4 linked regions of the Ovis aries genome follow. The protein of the gene in region 3 interacts with the protein of the main gene of each other region in a biochemical or structural test. Links are inferred from orthologs where the notes say so. Each region holds a gene or a part of one and is shown on either strand. Other genes may lie near its edges. The genes, in order: ICAM3, SPN, MSN and LRRK2.

Region 1 (4,001 bases), on a different chromosome or scaffold from region 3:
GGAAGACTTCAGCTGTGAAGAGCAGGGATTTGAGACCTGGACTCCAGGCATCTCTGCTCACGGACCCTGGCAAGTGACTGAGCCTCAGTTTCCTCTCTGTGAAATGAGGCTCATAAGTGTACCTCCCCAGCCCAGGCTTTCATAAGGGCTTTTGGGTGAGCACCTATGCGTCCACACTAAAAACAACAGCCACTCACAGCCCACACTAGGTAAATGGAGACTTGACACTGACCCCCCCTTTTTTTTAAATACTTTAAAATTTGGGAACCACATGAATTTATTACCTGTCATAAAAATAAAAGCAGTAAGGGATTTCCCTGGTGGTCCAGTGGCTAAGACTCCATCCTCCCAATGCACAGGGGTTCAATCCCCGGTCAGGGAACTAGGTCCTACCTCCTGCCTGCCACAACTAAGACCCAGTGCAGCCAAATAAATAAGTAAATACACACACAAAAAAGAAAAAGTAGGGACTTCCTTGGTAGTCCAGTGGTTAAGAATCTGCCTTGCAATTCAGGGGACACGAGGTCAATCCCTGGTTGGGGAACTAAAATTCCCTATGCCACAGAGCAACGAAGCCCGAGAGCCACATGCGCTCCAGAGCCCGCATGTCACAACTGCTGAAGCCCACGTGCCACAGTTAGAGTCTGTGCACCACGAAGAAAGATCCCGTGGGCTGCAACTAAGACCTAACAGCCAAACAAGATAAATAAATAACTATATTAAAATAAATTTTAAAAATTGAGTAAAAGACATGTCCTTTTTTTTGGCCATACTGAGAGTGTTCCATGGTTTTAGTTCCTTGACTAGAGATTGAACCCAGGCCCTTGGCAGTGAAAGCCTGGAGTCCTAACCACTGGACCACCAAGGAATTCCTGAACTATCATTTTTAAAATGCTTATTGGGCTTCCCAGGTGGCACTAGTGGTAAAGAACCCACCTGCCAATACCAGAGACTCAAGAAATGCAGGTTGGATCCCTGGGTCAGGAAGATTCCCCTGGAGGAGAGCACAGCAACCCACTCCAGTACTCTTGTCTGGAGAATCCCATGGACAGAGGAGCCTGGCGGGCTACAGTCCATGGGATCACAAAGAGTTGGACATGACTGAGGCAACTTAGCATGCATGCACACATACAAAATGCTTATTGAGAACCAAAGGAGTTGGTTTCACAGCTGCTGCTTTGGCATGCAGTTGAGATGTACCCCTCTATCTCTGACTTTGTCTCTCTCTCTCTCTCACACACACACCCCCAGTTCTGAGCTCTGACTGAGTGTCCTGGTCCATTTGTGCAAATTCAGGGCCCCAGCCCCACCTTGCTCCTCTGCACCATTGGTCATCTACCCCCACCACTGCCCAAGGCCATCCCACCTCCAGCCACGCCTACTCACCATACACTGTGATTTTAGAGAAACCCACCACCTGGGACTTATCGCAGAGGCCAGAGCAGAGAAGCTCTGTGTCACCAGTCACGTTGGTGAGGCGGAAGGCTGCCCAGCCCAGGCCCCTGCTGTGGTGCTCCTTGGAGAGGGCTGTCTCCAGGGAGATTAATCCAGGGCTGGGGCAATCTAAGCTGCAGTTTACCACAAGGGGCTTTCCAAAAGGCACCACTGGGTCCTTCGGTTCCACTCGTAACTGGTACGTCTGTCCCTGGGCACCTGCATGAACAGAGTCTCTGCTGGGGGCTCCAGTGCCCCCCAGCCCACCCAGCTGCAGGTTCCATCCTTCAACGCCACCCCCCCCCCCACTCCCACCAGCCAAGATAGGAAGGTCTCTGCCTTCGGCGGTGTTTCAGTTTAGTGGGAAAGACAGATGATGGATCAGGAACCAAGGAGAGTTGAGAAGGAGGCCAGGAGGAAGTGAGTCAGGAAAGGGTTCCTGGAGGGAACCACTACGGTCTCTTTTAAAGGGTCAAGGAGGATTTAGCCAAGTGAAAGGCAAGAGGGATCCTGGCAGACTGAAGAACATAGGCAGAGGTCATGAGTCCGGATGGAGCAGGGAGCGAATAAGTGCAGGCATGAGTGGTGGCTCAGATGGTAAAGCGTCTGCCTGCAGTGCGGGAGACCCGGGTTCAATCCCTGGGTTGGGAAGATCTCCTGGAGAAGGAAATGGCAACCCACTCCAGTATTCTTGCCTGGAGAATCCCATGGTTGGAGCAACTTGGTAGGCCACAATCCACAGGGTTGCAAAGAGTCGGACACAACTGAGCGACTTCACTTTCACTTTCACTTGAGTGTTTGGGTGGGTAAGTGTCTATGCTGTGAAGGGGGCAGGGAACAAGTGAAAGGCAGGAACCTGGCCTCAGGGAGCCCTGAAGGCTGAGTTAAGGAGCCACCATTTTTCCCCAAGGATACTGGGAAGCCCCCTGACAGATCTGAGTCAAAGAAGTGTTGCCGCAGCCCTGGGCAGCAGGGTGTGAGGTGCACTGTTCTCCTTCCCCTCCCCAGCAACCCCCCATCTCCAGCCCTCCCCAGCTCACTGGGCCTCACCTGTGGGCAACTGACAGCAGGCAAGAAGCAGAAAGATGAGCGAAGTCCAGTAGACCCTGGGCGGTGGCCCTGAGGGCATCATGGTGCTCAGCCTGGAGGCGGAAGTTCCCTTAATGAAGAGCTGTGCACCGGTGAACAGGCAGGACCTCCAGGGGAAGGAAGAACCGTCACTGCAGCTAAGAATGCAGCAGTCCAGGGGCCACACCTTGCCCAGGATGAGGGAAGGGTAGGGGAATATTTTATGCCACCCCCTGGGAGTCCACAGTGAGGGTCTCAGGAAAATGGAGCGTGCTGGCGAGTCTCCTAGGAGTCTCAGAGGGCAAACCTCGGTTACACTCCTTGTCCCCAGATCAACCCACAGGAAGCGCTAGTGCAAGCAGCTTCCTTTTTTCTCAGTACTGGAAAGCCTGGAGGGGGGCAGGGGTGAAAGACATCTCCCCTTCCTGTTGAACTTAGGTGAAAAAGGCTGTTTTGTTCCCAAAGAGGAAGTTAATGGGGATATCTGCACACTGGCCTTGAAGGAAAAGGGGTGGGATTTCGAGGTGACGTTTCAAGGAGGGAACAATGGGCAGACTTCTGGGCAGGGCTTCAAAGAGTTAACAAGAGATCTCAACGTTCCTGGGAGGCAAATAAACGATTTGGGGGGGGGGTGACAATGAAGGATCCCCTATGATGAGTAAAACTGTGACAGTGAACAGAGCCCACATTTACTGGGGACTTGTGCCGGGCTCTCTGTTGGCTGCCAGAGTGACTTCTATAGGCTCCTTATGTTTCCAGTTGTCATGTACAGATGTGAGGATTGGACCATAAAGGAGGCTGAGTGCAGAAGAATTGATGCTTTCAAACTGCGGTGTTGGAGAAGACTCTTGAGAGTCCCGTGGACTGCAAGGAGATCAAACCAGTCAATCTAAAGGAAATCAACCCTGAATATTCATTGGAAGGAATGATGCTGAAGCTCCGATACTTTGGCTACCTAATGTGAAGAGCCAACTCATTGGAAAAGACCTTGATGCTGGGCAAGACTGAAGGCAGGAGAAGGGGGCGGCAGAGGATGAAGTGGTTAGATAGCATCACCAACTCAATGAACATGAATTTGAGCCAACTCTGGGAGACAGGGAAGGACAGAGGAGCCTGGCATGCTGCAGTCCAAGGAGTCACAGAGTCAGACACGACTGAGTGACTGAACAACAAGTCTTTGAAGATCTCCGGGTGCTCTCCCATTGCTTGCATGCGGTGCTGAGGTGGAGCGTTTCAGGGACAGCTAAATCTTGAGCCACCGTCTGCCAAGGGGGATACTTTCAACTGAGTTCTTATCCCTGTCTTCATCCCTCTTGCCCTTTTCCTCCAGGTAGCTGGTCTCCTCATCCCAAGAGAAGGGACACGTGTGTGTGTGTGTGTGTGTGTGTGTGTGTGTGTGTGTGAGTGAGAAAGAGAGAGAGAGAGGTGGGCACTCCTACTCCATCAGCTCCCTCTCTCAGGCCTGTGACCTGCCTCCCGTGCCTCTGATCTGAGCTCCA
Region 2 (4,119 bases), on a different chromosome or scaffold from region 3:
CTACAGTCCATGTGGTCATAAAGAGTTGGACAGGACTGAGTGATTGAGCACAACATAAATACCAGTTTTGATTTTTTAAAAAAAGAAAGGTAAAAAAAGAAAAAAAATCATATATATATACCAAAAGTCAAGGAAAGTGAAAAAACAGCAACCACCCAAAGAAGAAAATAGAGAACTCTGCTCATTCCTACCCAACAAATTTGTTAATCCCTCTGTAGATATCTTTTCAGTGTCTTCCATGTAGATTCCCACATTTTTATTAGTCTTTTGCAAAAATAAGATTATAGCATAATGGGAGGGGGCTCAAGAGTGAGGGGATATATGTATACTTAATAGCTGATTCATGTTGTTGTACAGCAGAATGCAACGTGACATTGTAAAGCAATTATCCTCCAATTAAAATGAAAAAAAGGAGGGTGCTTTCCTGGTGGCTCAGTGGTAAAGAATCCACTTGCTAATGCAGGAGGCACAGGTTTGATCCCTAATCTGGGAAGATCCCACATGCTGTGGACCAACTAAAGCCCATACACCACAACTATTCAGCCTGTGCTCTAGAGCCCCGGAGGTGTAGCTACTGAGCCCACGTGTGGCAACTACTAAAGCCCGCGTGCCCTAGAGCCCGTGCTCCACAACAAGAGAAGCCACCGTAGTGAAAAGCTCAAGTACCACTCCCTGGAGAGTAGCCCCTGCTCGCTGCAACTAGAAAAAAGCCTGTGTAGCAACAAAGACCCAGCACAGGTAAAAGTGATTAAATAAATACAAAGTTTCAAAAATTAAAAAAATAAGATCATAGCATGCTGCTGCTGCTGCTGCTAAGTCGCTTCAGTCGTGTCCAACTCTGTGCGACCCCAGAGCCGGCAGCCCACCAGGTTCCCCCGTCCCTGGGATTCTCCAGGCAAGAACACTGGAGTGGGTTGCCATTTCCTTCTCCAATGCAGGAAAGTGAAAAGTGAAAGTGAAGTCGCTCAGTCGTGTCCGACTCCTAGTGACCCCATGGACTGCATATTCAGTGCTCAATAACCACTTTGGTTTAGTCAGGCAGTCCATGCCTGGGGCTGTTGTGGTAACCACCCCCAGCTTCTTGAGAAGTCCAGAGCCCACCAGGAATTTCATGCAGCCTGCAAAGGCTCTCACTGCCCCCAGCCAGAGTCAAGGGCTTCCTCTTGCCCTGGTATTTCCTGGGAGCTCCTGGGGCAGAAGACGTGCTAGCCTTGGGGGCGCACCTAACAGCCTGGGGACCACAAAGGCAAAGGAAACCGCCTTCCCCTCCCATCTCCTCCTCCACACCCCTTTGTTTTCAAGCACCCATCTCCACCAGCTCTGCTGTGACCCCTATACCTGTTCCAGAGTCACCAACTTGCCATCCCATTTTCCAGTGAAGATCTAGGAATCCCCATTCCAGAACCCACCCACCATCCCCACCTGCTGTAGCTGAGACCTCAGAGCCCCTGTCATCACCTGGGACCCTCAAAAAGTGAGTGATGCCTCTCTCATCACAGGGCAATGTAGGAGCGGGGAGGGTGGGGCAGGATGCTGGAGTGGGTGGAGCCAGGGCCACTTCCTTTCCCCTTGGGGCCCCTGACCGCCAGTCTTGCCCCAGCTTCAGGAGGAGTTGGAGCAGCCTGGTCGCAGCCCTGTGCCCTTTTCAAGTGAGCTGGTAAGCAGCGGGACGTGGTGGGGCAGGGGCCTCGGTGGACCTGGGAATGTGCCTCTGGCTTGAGAAGACCTTGCCAGGTAATGGGAAAAAAGGACGAGGAGCCATCGGAGCTGCATGCGGTCAGGGCAGGGCAGGATGGGATGGCAATGGCTACAGCGCGCCGAGGGGTCCTGAGGGATAGAGTTGATGGGGGTGCAGCCAGTATCTTGTTATTTCTGACACTAGTGAAAGCAAGGGTGGAAAAAGCCGTTGAACCGGCAGTTGGCAGGGAAGTGGGCAGGAGGGGAGGGCCTGGCTCGGTCCTCCCCCTACCCACAGATCCTTATGTGCTCTACTTCTCCAACTTCCCCACCCTCAGGTCCCAACTCCTGCTCATGCCTTTTGCTTTGGAAATGATCCTGCTTCTCGTCCTCTTCGGGAGCATGAGGGTGGAAAACCTGGCTGAAGTGTCTCCAAGCAGCTCTCCTTTGTGGATATCTAAACCCACAACAGACTTTCTTTCTTCTTCGGTCTCTGGGAAGCCAACAGTCAACTCAGTGACTACCAGTCTTACAACAAACAAGGTCTCTAAGATGAGTGATAACCTTGAGCACCAGACCTTCCCACCTTCCTATATACCCAATGTGGTGTCCTCTCTTGAAACTTCCCCTGCTGCCAGCAGGGACAGTCCTGTATCTGAGTCAACAATATCCCAGGAAGATTCAACCGAGAAGTCAACAATGCCCATGAAAATCTCTGATACCCCCAGCATACCTGGTGTCTCAGTAATGAAACCTACAGGACTCCCTACTATGACTGGTGAAACCATGGCAACTAGCCCTCTGGATACCTCCAATGGGACCAGTGGAACCCCTGTCACCATGGCAACTAACCCTCTGGAGACCTCCAATGGGACCAGTGGAACCCCTGTCACCATGGCAACTAGCCCTCTGGAGACCTCCAGTGAGACCAGCAAAGTCCTATTAACTATGGCAACTAGCTCTCTGGAGATCTCTGGTGGGACCAGCAGACCTCCTGTCACCATGGCAACAAGCTCTCTGAAGACCATCAGTATGACCAGTGGATCCCCTGTCATCATGAAAACTGGCCCTCCTAAGACCTCCAAGGGGACCAGTGGACTCCTGATCACCATGCCAGCTACCTCTCTCAAGACTCCCATGGGGACCAGTGGCCCCACTAGCCGTGGCGTAACAACATCCAGCCCAAATACCTCCGCAAACATAAGCAGGAGGGACAAACTAATTCCAGCTCAGGGGACAAACGGCACCCTGCTGGTGGTTGTGCTCGTGGCCCTGCTGGTGGTCGTTGTCCTCGTGGCATCAGCCCTGTTGTGGTTCCGGCGGCAGAAGCGGAAGACGGGAGTCCTGACACTGAGCAGAAGTGGAAAACGCAACGGGGTGGTAGATGCCTGGGCTGGGGTCGCCCGGGTGTCTGATGAGGAGGCCATGACAGCGACAGAGGGAGCGTCTGGGGGGAACAATGACTCTGATGGCCCCCGCAGGGAGGGCTCTGGCCAGCGACCCACACTCACCACTTTCTTTGGTAGACGGAAGTCTCGCCAGGGCTCCATGGCGCTGGAGGAGCTAAAGGCAGGGGCAGCCTCCAGCTTAAAGGGGGAAGAGGAGCCGCTGGTGTGCAAAGAGGATGAGGGTGCAGAGGCCCCTACTTCTAATGGGCCAGAAGTGAGAGAGGTGGAGACCCCTTAATGCTCAAGAATCTCAAGGCTAGAGTTTAGAACCATTCCTGCTTTTATCACCTTCCCTCCCATCATCACCAAGAGGTTGATATCCAGCCTCCTCATCCGTCACCCAGCATTTTCACCCAGCGCTTTTTGGATTTTAATACAGCATCTTCACCCTCAATCTTCATTCAGCTTCTTAACCCTGGCTCTTCTAGCCAGCATTCACCCAGCATCCACCCCCAGCACCCAGACCAGGGCCTACACCCACTGAACACTTGCAGATGGAACAAATGAAACTTCCTCATCAACCCCTACTTCTCCCCATCACATTTTCTTCACATTTTGGTCCTTGAAACTAGCTGCCGAGTCTCTGGAAATGCCAGACTTCCTGGATTGATGATTTCTCAGCTGATTCCCCACAAATATCAGGGAAGAAGGAATTGGCAACCCAGCAACCTCCCACTTCAGGATTACTCTGGAAAGTACATAATGGCCCCATGGATTGGGACATTTGTAGTGGATTAGCCCATGAATTGCCTGTAACTCTGGGTGCCACTGGTCTGTGCCAGGCTGGCCCAGAGCATGGGCTGGATGGCGTCACCTTGGGGTGCTTTCAGTGTATCTGTGACAGCCCCAGGCCCCTAGACTGGCCCATGGTCCCAGCTGCCACACTCCCCCCAACTCTGGATGGAGGCGGCCAGAGGCTTCGGTTGTTTCTCCTCCCAAGAGCAGAGGTGAGAAGTTTCTGGGCAGGTGTAGTTCTTAGAAGTCTTGGCGTCAG
Region 3 (3,565 bases):
AACTAAGGTTTGCTTTATTTTTTGTTGAGGCATGGACCTTGTAACAATCTCTCAAAGAATCACCAGCCTTACTTCACTGGATTTCTTCTACTCAAGGTTGTAAAATCTAAGAGGACAGTAAATAATGAGTTCCAAGACTCAGAAATTACACAAAACAATAATATATTGATCTTTATACTCATCAAGAGAAAACCAAGGGAAAAAAATAAGCTAGTGAGATAAGCCTTTAGCAAGAGAGATTATAGGTCAAAAAATACTGAATCATCATATGAAGTGAGATTAATTACAAATCCTGACAAGGTGAGTTTTAAACCAGTGCTATCCAACAGAAATATAAATTATCACACATGCAATTTAAAATTTTCTAGTAGCCACATGTAAGTAAAAAGAAACAGAGTGGAATTAACTATAACAACAGTTCACTTAAACCAGTATATGCAAAATCCTATCATGTATTTTGAACATGTAAATATTCATGAAGATATAAATGAATATTAAAAATGCATTAATGAGACATTTTATATTGTTTTTTCACACTAAGTCTTCAATGTAGTTTATACTTATAGCACATCTCAATTCAGACCAGCCACATTTCAAGTGCTCAACAGCTACATGTGGCCAGAAGATATCACAGTGGACAGTGAAAGTCTAGTCAATGCCAAGATTCAGAGGCTTGAGGGAGGTTGTGTGATCATCTGGGCTGGTCTAATCTACGTAGAAAAAGAATGATACAGGTGGGACCCAGGAAGTAAAATCATACTTTGTCAAGTCCTAGGTGTCAAAGTAGCCCAAAAAAGTAAGCAAGCTGAGCAATATCATGTGATATCTTTTATATGTGGAATCTAAAAAGAAATAATACAAATGAACTTACTTACAAAACAGAAATAGATTCAGACTTAGAAAAGGAACTTATGGTTCTTAGAGGGGAAGGACAGGGGGGAGGGATAGTTAGGGAGTTTGGCATGGACATATACATGCTGCTATGTTTGAAATGGATAACAAACAAGGACCTACTGTATGGAACATGGAGCTCTGCTCAATGTTATGTGGCATCCTGGATAGGAAAGGAGTTTGGGGGAGAATAAATACATGTACATATATGGCTGATTCCCTTCACTGCTCACTTGAAAGTATCACAACATTGTTTGTTAATTGGTTATACCCTAATACAAAATAAAAAGTTAAAAAGCGAGCTCTGAACTATACCTGTCATTCTGCTCATAGATGTTGAGACCCAGGGCATCCACCCCCAGCCATAGCTCTGAGCCTTTCTTGTTCTTGATGTTAAAGTAGTTCACACCATACATCTCCAGATCCTGGGCAATCTTCAGATACTCCAGGACAGCATCCTCCCTAAACAACAGAATGGAAGTCAGTGGCGGGGGGTGGGGTCGCGGGGGGCAGAAGAGGCAAGTAATAAGGGGAGGGAGCCTATGAATCAGACCCAGGGAGACAGAAAGCCTACTTGCTCTCCACTTCTGACAAGAATCTTGCCAAAAGGGGTTGAAAAGAGGATGGAAGGTGAGCAGATGATGGTTAACACAGCAAAACGTGACTTCTGCCAAAACATGTTCATAGGAGCCTAAGGTCTGAGATTCCCAAGGGGAATAAAGGCAGGCTGACTCTTGCTGACCTCTGGCATATTAGCTATCACAGAAGCCTCTTACACAGGCACATTATTAGCAGAGCCCAAATGAGATGGTGATGACAAAATGAAAAGATTCGTTCTTCAATTAGACATCTCCCAAATGGTATGCCATGTTCATAAAGATCCTTCCTCATTTCATTCTTGAAGAGGGGCCCCTTGTGGCTCAGAAACTCCCTAGGGGAGGAAATCTCAGGATCCCCTGATCTGGGCTATCAGCTCCCATCATCCACAAAAAGCACAGTTTTATAATGGTGCTGATTTGCCTTCCATTTCTAATTACATCTTGTAAACTGCATTTCTGTCTCTTTCCAACATCCTCCAGTGTTCCTAGCCTCTGCTTCTTCCCCACTGAACCAACTCTTATTCTCCTTGCAAGGGCATAGAGTCCACAGTTCCTAGGGTAGGCTTACCTGAGCATGCCCCGGTGCTCCTCATGCCACACCTGGATCCTTTCCTCCCACTGGTCCTTGTTAAGCTTGTGCTGCTCCAGGACTCTGGAAAGACAATGTGGGGTTAGTTACACCAGAAGCAGACTGAAATTATAGCAGGAGGTATTAACTAGACACAGGGAAGTGCCTGAGGGGTATGAGACATACAGAATGGGTGACCAAGAAGGACAGTGGGAACATCTTCCTTTGTACCTTTAACCAGAAAAATCCAATAAGGTGCTGTGGTCATCAAGCAAAGCAGTAACATATCAACTGTGCTGATTTGTGAGACTAAGAGGAGAAATTGGCCTCATGGAGGCATGCATACTCTCTCCTAGATCTCTGTGGGGCCAATAGTTTGCATTTGTGAGACTACTGCTCAGGGATAAGATATAGCCTGTGGCTATGGAAGTGAGAACTGAGTTCAAATGGTTTAGGGAAAAAACTAACAGGTTCAACTGTTATTATCTGTAAAATGGGCCCAGTTGTAATTATATCATAACAATAACTCTCAGATCTACTAGATCATAAACAAGGCTTGCTTTAAATATGCTATTTCAGACATTATAGCAGTGACTGATTTATGTAGAGTGCCAGGGCACAACCACTATCCCTAATACCTTCAGGTGATTTGTACATTTTGCTATAGCTCCACTGCGATGGAGGTTACTGGAATGAAGCATAGTTTTCCTTCCAATTTAAAAGCCTATATAAAATAGTGATTGGATGCAGTAGGGTTAAAAAAAAAATCAAGAGACTAGGGTTCCAGGTTGCCACAAATGAGCTGTGGGAGATTCAGCAGGTCAGAGTGAATACCTCTGCACCTCTGTTTCCTTAGCCAGGAAATAAGGATTATGCCTGCCTTATTCATTCTGTGTGTTGCGATGCTAAAATAAAAATAATTAGAATTTGAGAATGTTCAGTTTTGAAGTTTACAAAAGGAGAAATCTCTGTATACTGGGTATCAATATTAAAAGACTGTTTTGAGCTCCCCATGTCCCTGGTTTAAGTATTTCTCACTCCAATGAACCTCTGATACAAGAAGTCTAAATCAGTGAAAAGGATCAAGAAATTGGAACTGGGGCAAGGAGAAGCAATTCATCTCTGGTTCTCAATATAAGCACCTGTTTCCACAGTAATGAAGTTCTATAATAGGCAAACAGAGGAGGGAAAAAAGTGTTTTATTTTGAGAACCAGAGAAATAAGAACAGAGTATGGTGCCATACGCAAGTATATCTGTCTGAGCATCATAACATGGTCTTCAGACAGACCTTAGTGGAGAGGGACAGATGTGGCAACCCTTGTATAATAAGAATCAATCAGCTTTGGGCCACAGCTCACTCTGACCAGGGCAGATCACCAGGACACCACCTTACCTCTGTGGCAGCAACTTGTCCCCAGCCAAGTAGCCAGACTTGTGGACTTCCTTATTGAAGTCACCATACTTGGACTGGACAGCATAGGAGGCCAGCAACACAGCAGTCTCAGG
Region 4 (3,565 bases), on a different chromosome or scaffold from region 3:
ATTCCAGATTTGTAACACGTTACTTTAAAATATATTATCCCAAAGAAAAAAATTACAAAAATATATGAAGATACTAAAAACTATGACAATGTAATTATATGTGAATATTTGCTAGATTATAAAACCATACCCTAATTTTTATTCTCAAACCAACAAAAACAGTTACCTAAGAGAAACTCTGGAGCTTGTTCAAATTCCAATTCATCATTATTCAACATAATATTTCTAGGCAGATCAGCCAAAATCAAATCAGGAGCAATCTGAGATATTGGAATTGTGAGTCTTGGTTGATCTGGATTTACTAGGAGGTCTCCTGAGAAGTACATAAAACATTTTTTTTTAAAGATAAACCTTTAAGATTGTACATAAATTTGTCCTTTTGATTTACAGAAATAATCACATATTGTCTATGCGTTCCAATCACTCTTAGGTTCACTTTCCAATCTTATTTTTCTCTAGAAAATTTGAGAATGTTTTAAAAGTTGAGTTACTCTCTATTTGGAAGTTTAAAAACTCATTCCTAGGTTCACTCACTAGAAAGTAGAACTCAGAACTGCCTAGGCTATTGATATATGACTAGGAAATTATATATTCTTTACTTTCACAACATTCATGGAACACAGCATATGGCTGACATTACTAAGTTACATCCATGTATCATCTATTCTAATCTTCATAACAATTGTATGGCATAGTTTTGGTTAATAATCTCACTTCACAGATGACATATCATTGCCCAGTAGCCAGTATTCAAACTCTCACACCAACATTTTTTCTGAATCTAAAGTATAAGATCTTACTGGCAATAAATATATTTTTCTGAACTGTTAACTATAATTGAATATAGTATCCTCTAACTTATCCCTTGTAAATAAGAGCAATCCATTTTTACATTTATTTCAAAACTCACTTCGCAAATATTGAAAGAATCACTTAAAAGCATTTGTAAGTTGCGTCAACACATACATACCTTCTTCTGCTTTCTTCATCAAGTTGTCAAGCAATATTTTTTGATGCTCTTCACCATCATTAAAACTATATAATGCCCATTTCTTCAGCAGAGTTTCTCCTTCACCGCAAATATCAATCTCCAGTAATCCAGGAAACCACTCTTCCATGAGAGAATCAATGTGGTCCACAACTTGGCCCAAAAGAATACAGCCTATGTAATCCAAAGAAAACTTGATTAACATCCTAGCTGAACCTTATCCTGTCACAAATTGAAAAGAACTATAGAAACTTTTTAAAAGTTTAGATTTCTTTAGTGGTACAATTCCGTTTTGAATTAATTTCCTTACCTTTTCTACAAGAGGGAACTGTAATTTTTAAGAAACTCTCTGGGTGATGATCTAAAACTTCAGATCCTACCAAGCAGTAAGCTTCAGGAGACCAATTCAAGTAAATGCCTTGTCGCCAGTACATTCTATTTGGGCGAAGTGCTCGTTCTGAAAGAAATTTAAAAGAACCCAAATATAGCTATTAATTATTTGTTGTTCCATAAACTGTAGGGGAAAAAAAAAATCACTGCACATATTACAAGTGACAGTAACAGAGATGTATTTGTTTTGAAGGAAAGTACTGGAATTGTTAATGATATGTTATCTGTTAAATATAATATTAAATATTTTGTCCTCAATTTTGAAATGAAACAAACAAATGCCCAGTAGATTACCTAAGACAGATTTCAGGTTGATGGTGTCAAGCAGTTTAACATATGTAATAGATGAAAAAGAGAATCATAAACAGGTTCCCATAATTTTTAAAAAGAGGTTGGTGGTAATGCTAAAATCAACACTTTGATGTGATGTAACTATCTGTATGTTGATTAACTGCAAGCAAGATAAGGTTTATTTCAGAATACAGTACCATCTCCATAAAGCTGCTTTTAAGCACAAAACAGAAAAATTATATTTTCCCCCTTGGAGCACTAATATCTCTCTTTCTTCCAGGAGGAAGATCTAGCATTGTCATTTATAATTATAGCAAGATAAAGTCTTTATTCTTTTTTGTAAACCTCTCAGGGACCATGCAGCAGAATAGAGCTATTGTAGTCCCCACAGAGAATGGTTAGGACCTGTTACTCTATTAAACAAAACTCCCTGACTGAGGGGGTGGTCATTTCTAGTTTTTAATTTCTCCACGCGTGCATGCGTATTTGTGTGTACGTGCAGGGAGATAGGTGTTTTTACGCCAGTGACTCTGTAATTTCATCTTTTAAAACTGCTGCTTCTAGTCTGCTTTGGCTTGCAAAGCAAGATATTCATACACATTGTAAATGTGCCTAAAATAAGTACACGTGGACTTTGAGGAATTTTATTCTTAACAAATTTCATGAATTTATCTGTGTATATTTTTATATTGGCCATGCTGAGGTCTTTTGAGCTTATTTCCTGATTTTCAGCTGCATTACAAGCCAGTAAACTCTAGGAAAATGACATATTAATTTTAATATGCTTTCTAACTATCTTCTCCAAATATTAATTCTTCATTAAATACATACCTCTTCCTGAAAGCATGTAAGGTGAAATTTCAAGCAACCGATTGATTAATCTTGACCAAAAGCCCATTGGAAAATAAGGCATTTCATACAGTCGAATGATAATTTCAGAGTTCTCACAATGGGGAAGCTCTATTACAGGCCTGTGGTCAGACAAACTAAAGATAAAAGCACACTATCATTATATAGCTTCAGAAAACGCCCAACCATGCTGACCAGAGTGCTTTACTACTTGAAATCAATGAATTGATGATGATAAATATTCTAAGCAACTTTATTTTTTAGTAATGTTATTTTGCTACATACTCTTCCTACTTCAAAATTTAATGGTTAATCAATTCAAATCATGCTCAGATAAAGTGATGTATAAAGATTTTTCAGTAATCCTATTTACATTATAAATAAATTATTATAGTTATGTATAATAAGTAAAGGGATTACATAAAACTTTAAAATATGTATATCCTAGAATCAAGTGTATATCTGTGTTTAGAATTAGTTACCATCCATCAATCATTGCAATTTGTACTTTTCAATGTCATTTACTTTATAACATTTCCCAGGTTTTATAAGGCAGTAAGAAAAATTTCTACAACACAGTGCTAGAATTTAGGACTCCTTGTGTTGGCCATATCCTCTGAAAATTCACAGTCATAAATTATTTAAAGACTCTGTTGAAAAATCACCATTTCTCCAGAATCTGCCTAATAACTCCTTCAATATCATATGAGGAACATACATACACACACAGCAACACAAACACTCTCTAATCTCCACTATTAACCTTTCTTAAATAAACTGAGCATTGTCAAATCAAATAATAATTATATATATAAAATCATTTACATCTTTAAAATGTCAAATGTAGTCTTCACCAAAAGAAAATGCTATACTCCAGTACAAAGTTTACACAAGAAGGAAAAAATTAGCACATTCATCATAGACCAAAGTTACTTTCACAACTAAAAGAATATATGGTAAATTTCCATAGAGTAATTAAATTTTTAAGTTTTAGCTTACCTGCTTGGAACCAGTAAATATTCTTCTCCAATTGGCAAGGCAATCTGG

The links.
Region 1: the proteins of MSN (region 3) and ICAM3 form a complex in vitro, tested with the Homo sapiens proteins (2 studies listed by BioGRID). The link is inferred for Ovis aries from reciprocal best matches to the Homo sapiens genes MSN and ICAM3.
Region 2: the proteins of MSN (region 3) and SPN form a complex in vitro, tested with the Homo sapiens proteins (2 studies listed by BioGRID). The link is inferred for Ovis aries from reciprocal best matches to the Homo sapiens genes MSN and SPN.
Region 4: of the proteins of MSN (region 3) and LRRK2, one has a biochemical effect on the other in vitro, tested with the Homo sapiens proteins (9 studies listed by IntAct). The link is inferred for Ovis aries from reciprocal best matches to the Homo sapiens genes MSN and LRRK2.

What each region holds. Positions count from the first base shown.
Region 1 is NC_056058.1:12,721,748-12,725,748, forward strand, and holds the start of ICAM3 (intercellular adhesion molecule 3), read right to left. Parts: upstream 2,844-4,001; 5' UTR 2,567-2,843; coding exon 2,485-2,566; intron 1,654-2,484; coding exon 1,387-1,653; intron 1-1,386. UniProt on the Homo sapiens protein: ICAM proteins are ligands for the leukocyte adhesion protein LFA-1 (integrin alpha-L/beta-2). ICAM3 is also a ligand for integrin alpha-D/beta-2. In association with integrin alpha-L/beta-2, contributes to apoptotic neutrophil phagocytosis by macrophages.
Region 2 is NC_056077.1:27,028,682-27,032,800, reverse strand, and holds the start of SPN (leukosialin), read left to right. Parts: upstream 1-1,293; 5' UTR 1,294-1,474; intron 1,475-1,604; exon of another isoform or gene 1,605-1,734; intron 1,735-2,015; 5' UTR 2,016-2,031; coding exon 2,032-3,363; 3' UTR 3,364-4,119. UniProt on the Homo sapiens protein: Predominant cell surface sialoprotein of leukocytes which regulates multiple T-cell functions, including T-cell activation, proliferation, differentiation, trafficking and migration.
Region 3 is NC_056080.1:48,036,967-48,040,531, reverse strand, and holds part of MSN (moesin), read right to left. Parts: coding exon 3,453-3,565; intron 2,143-3,452; coding exon 2,059-2,142; intron 1,354-2,058; coding exon 1,207-1,353; intron 1-1,206. UniProt on the Homo sapiens protein: Ezrin-radixin-moesin (ERM) family protein that connects the actin cytoskeleton to the plasma membrane and thereby regulates the structure and function of specific domains of the cell cortex.
Region 4 is NC_056056.1:146,886,485-146,890,049, forward strand, and holds part of LRRK2 (leucine-rich repeat serine/threonine-protein kinase 2), read right to left. Parts: coding exon 3,518-3,565; intron 2,656-3,517; coding exon 2,501-2,655; intron 1,446-2,500; coding exon 1,299-1,445; intron 1,163-1,298; coding exon 971-1,162; intron 314-970; coding exon 167-313; intron 1-166. UniProt on the Homo sapiens protein: Serine/threonine-protein kinase which phosphorylates a broad range of proteins involved in multiple processes such as neuronal plasticity, innate immunity, autophagy, and vesicle trafficking.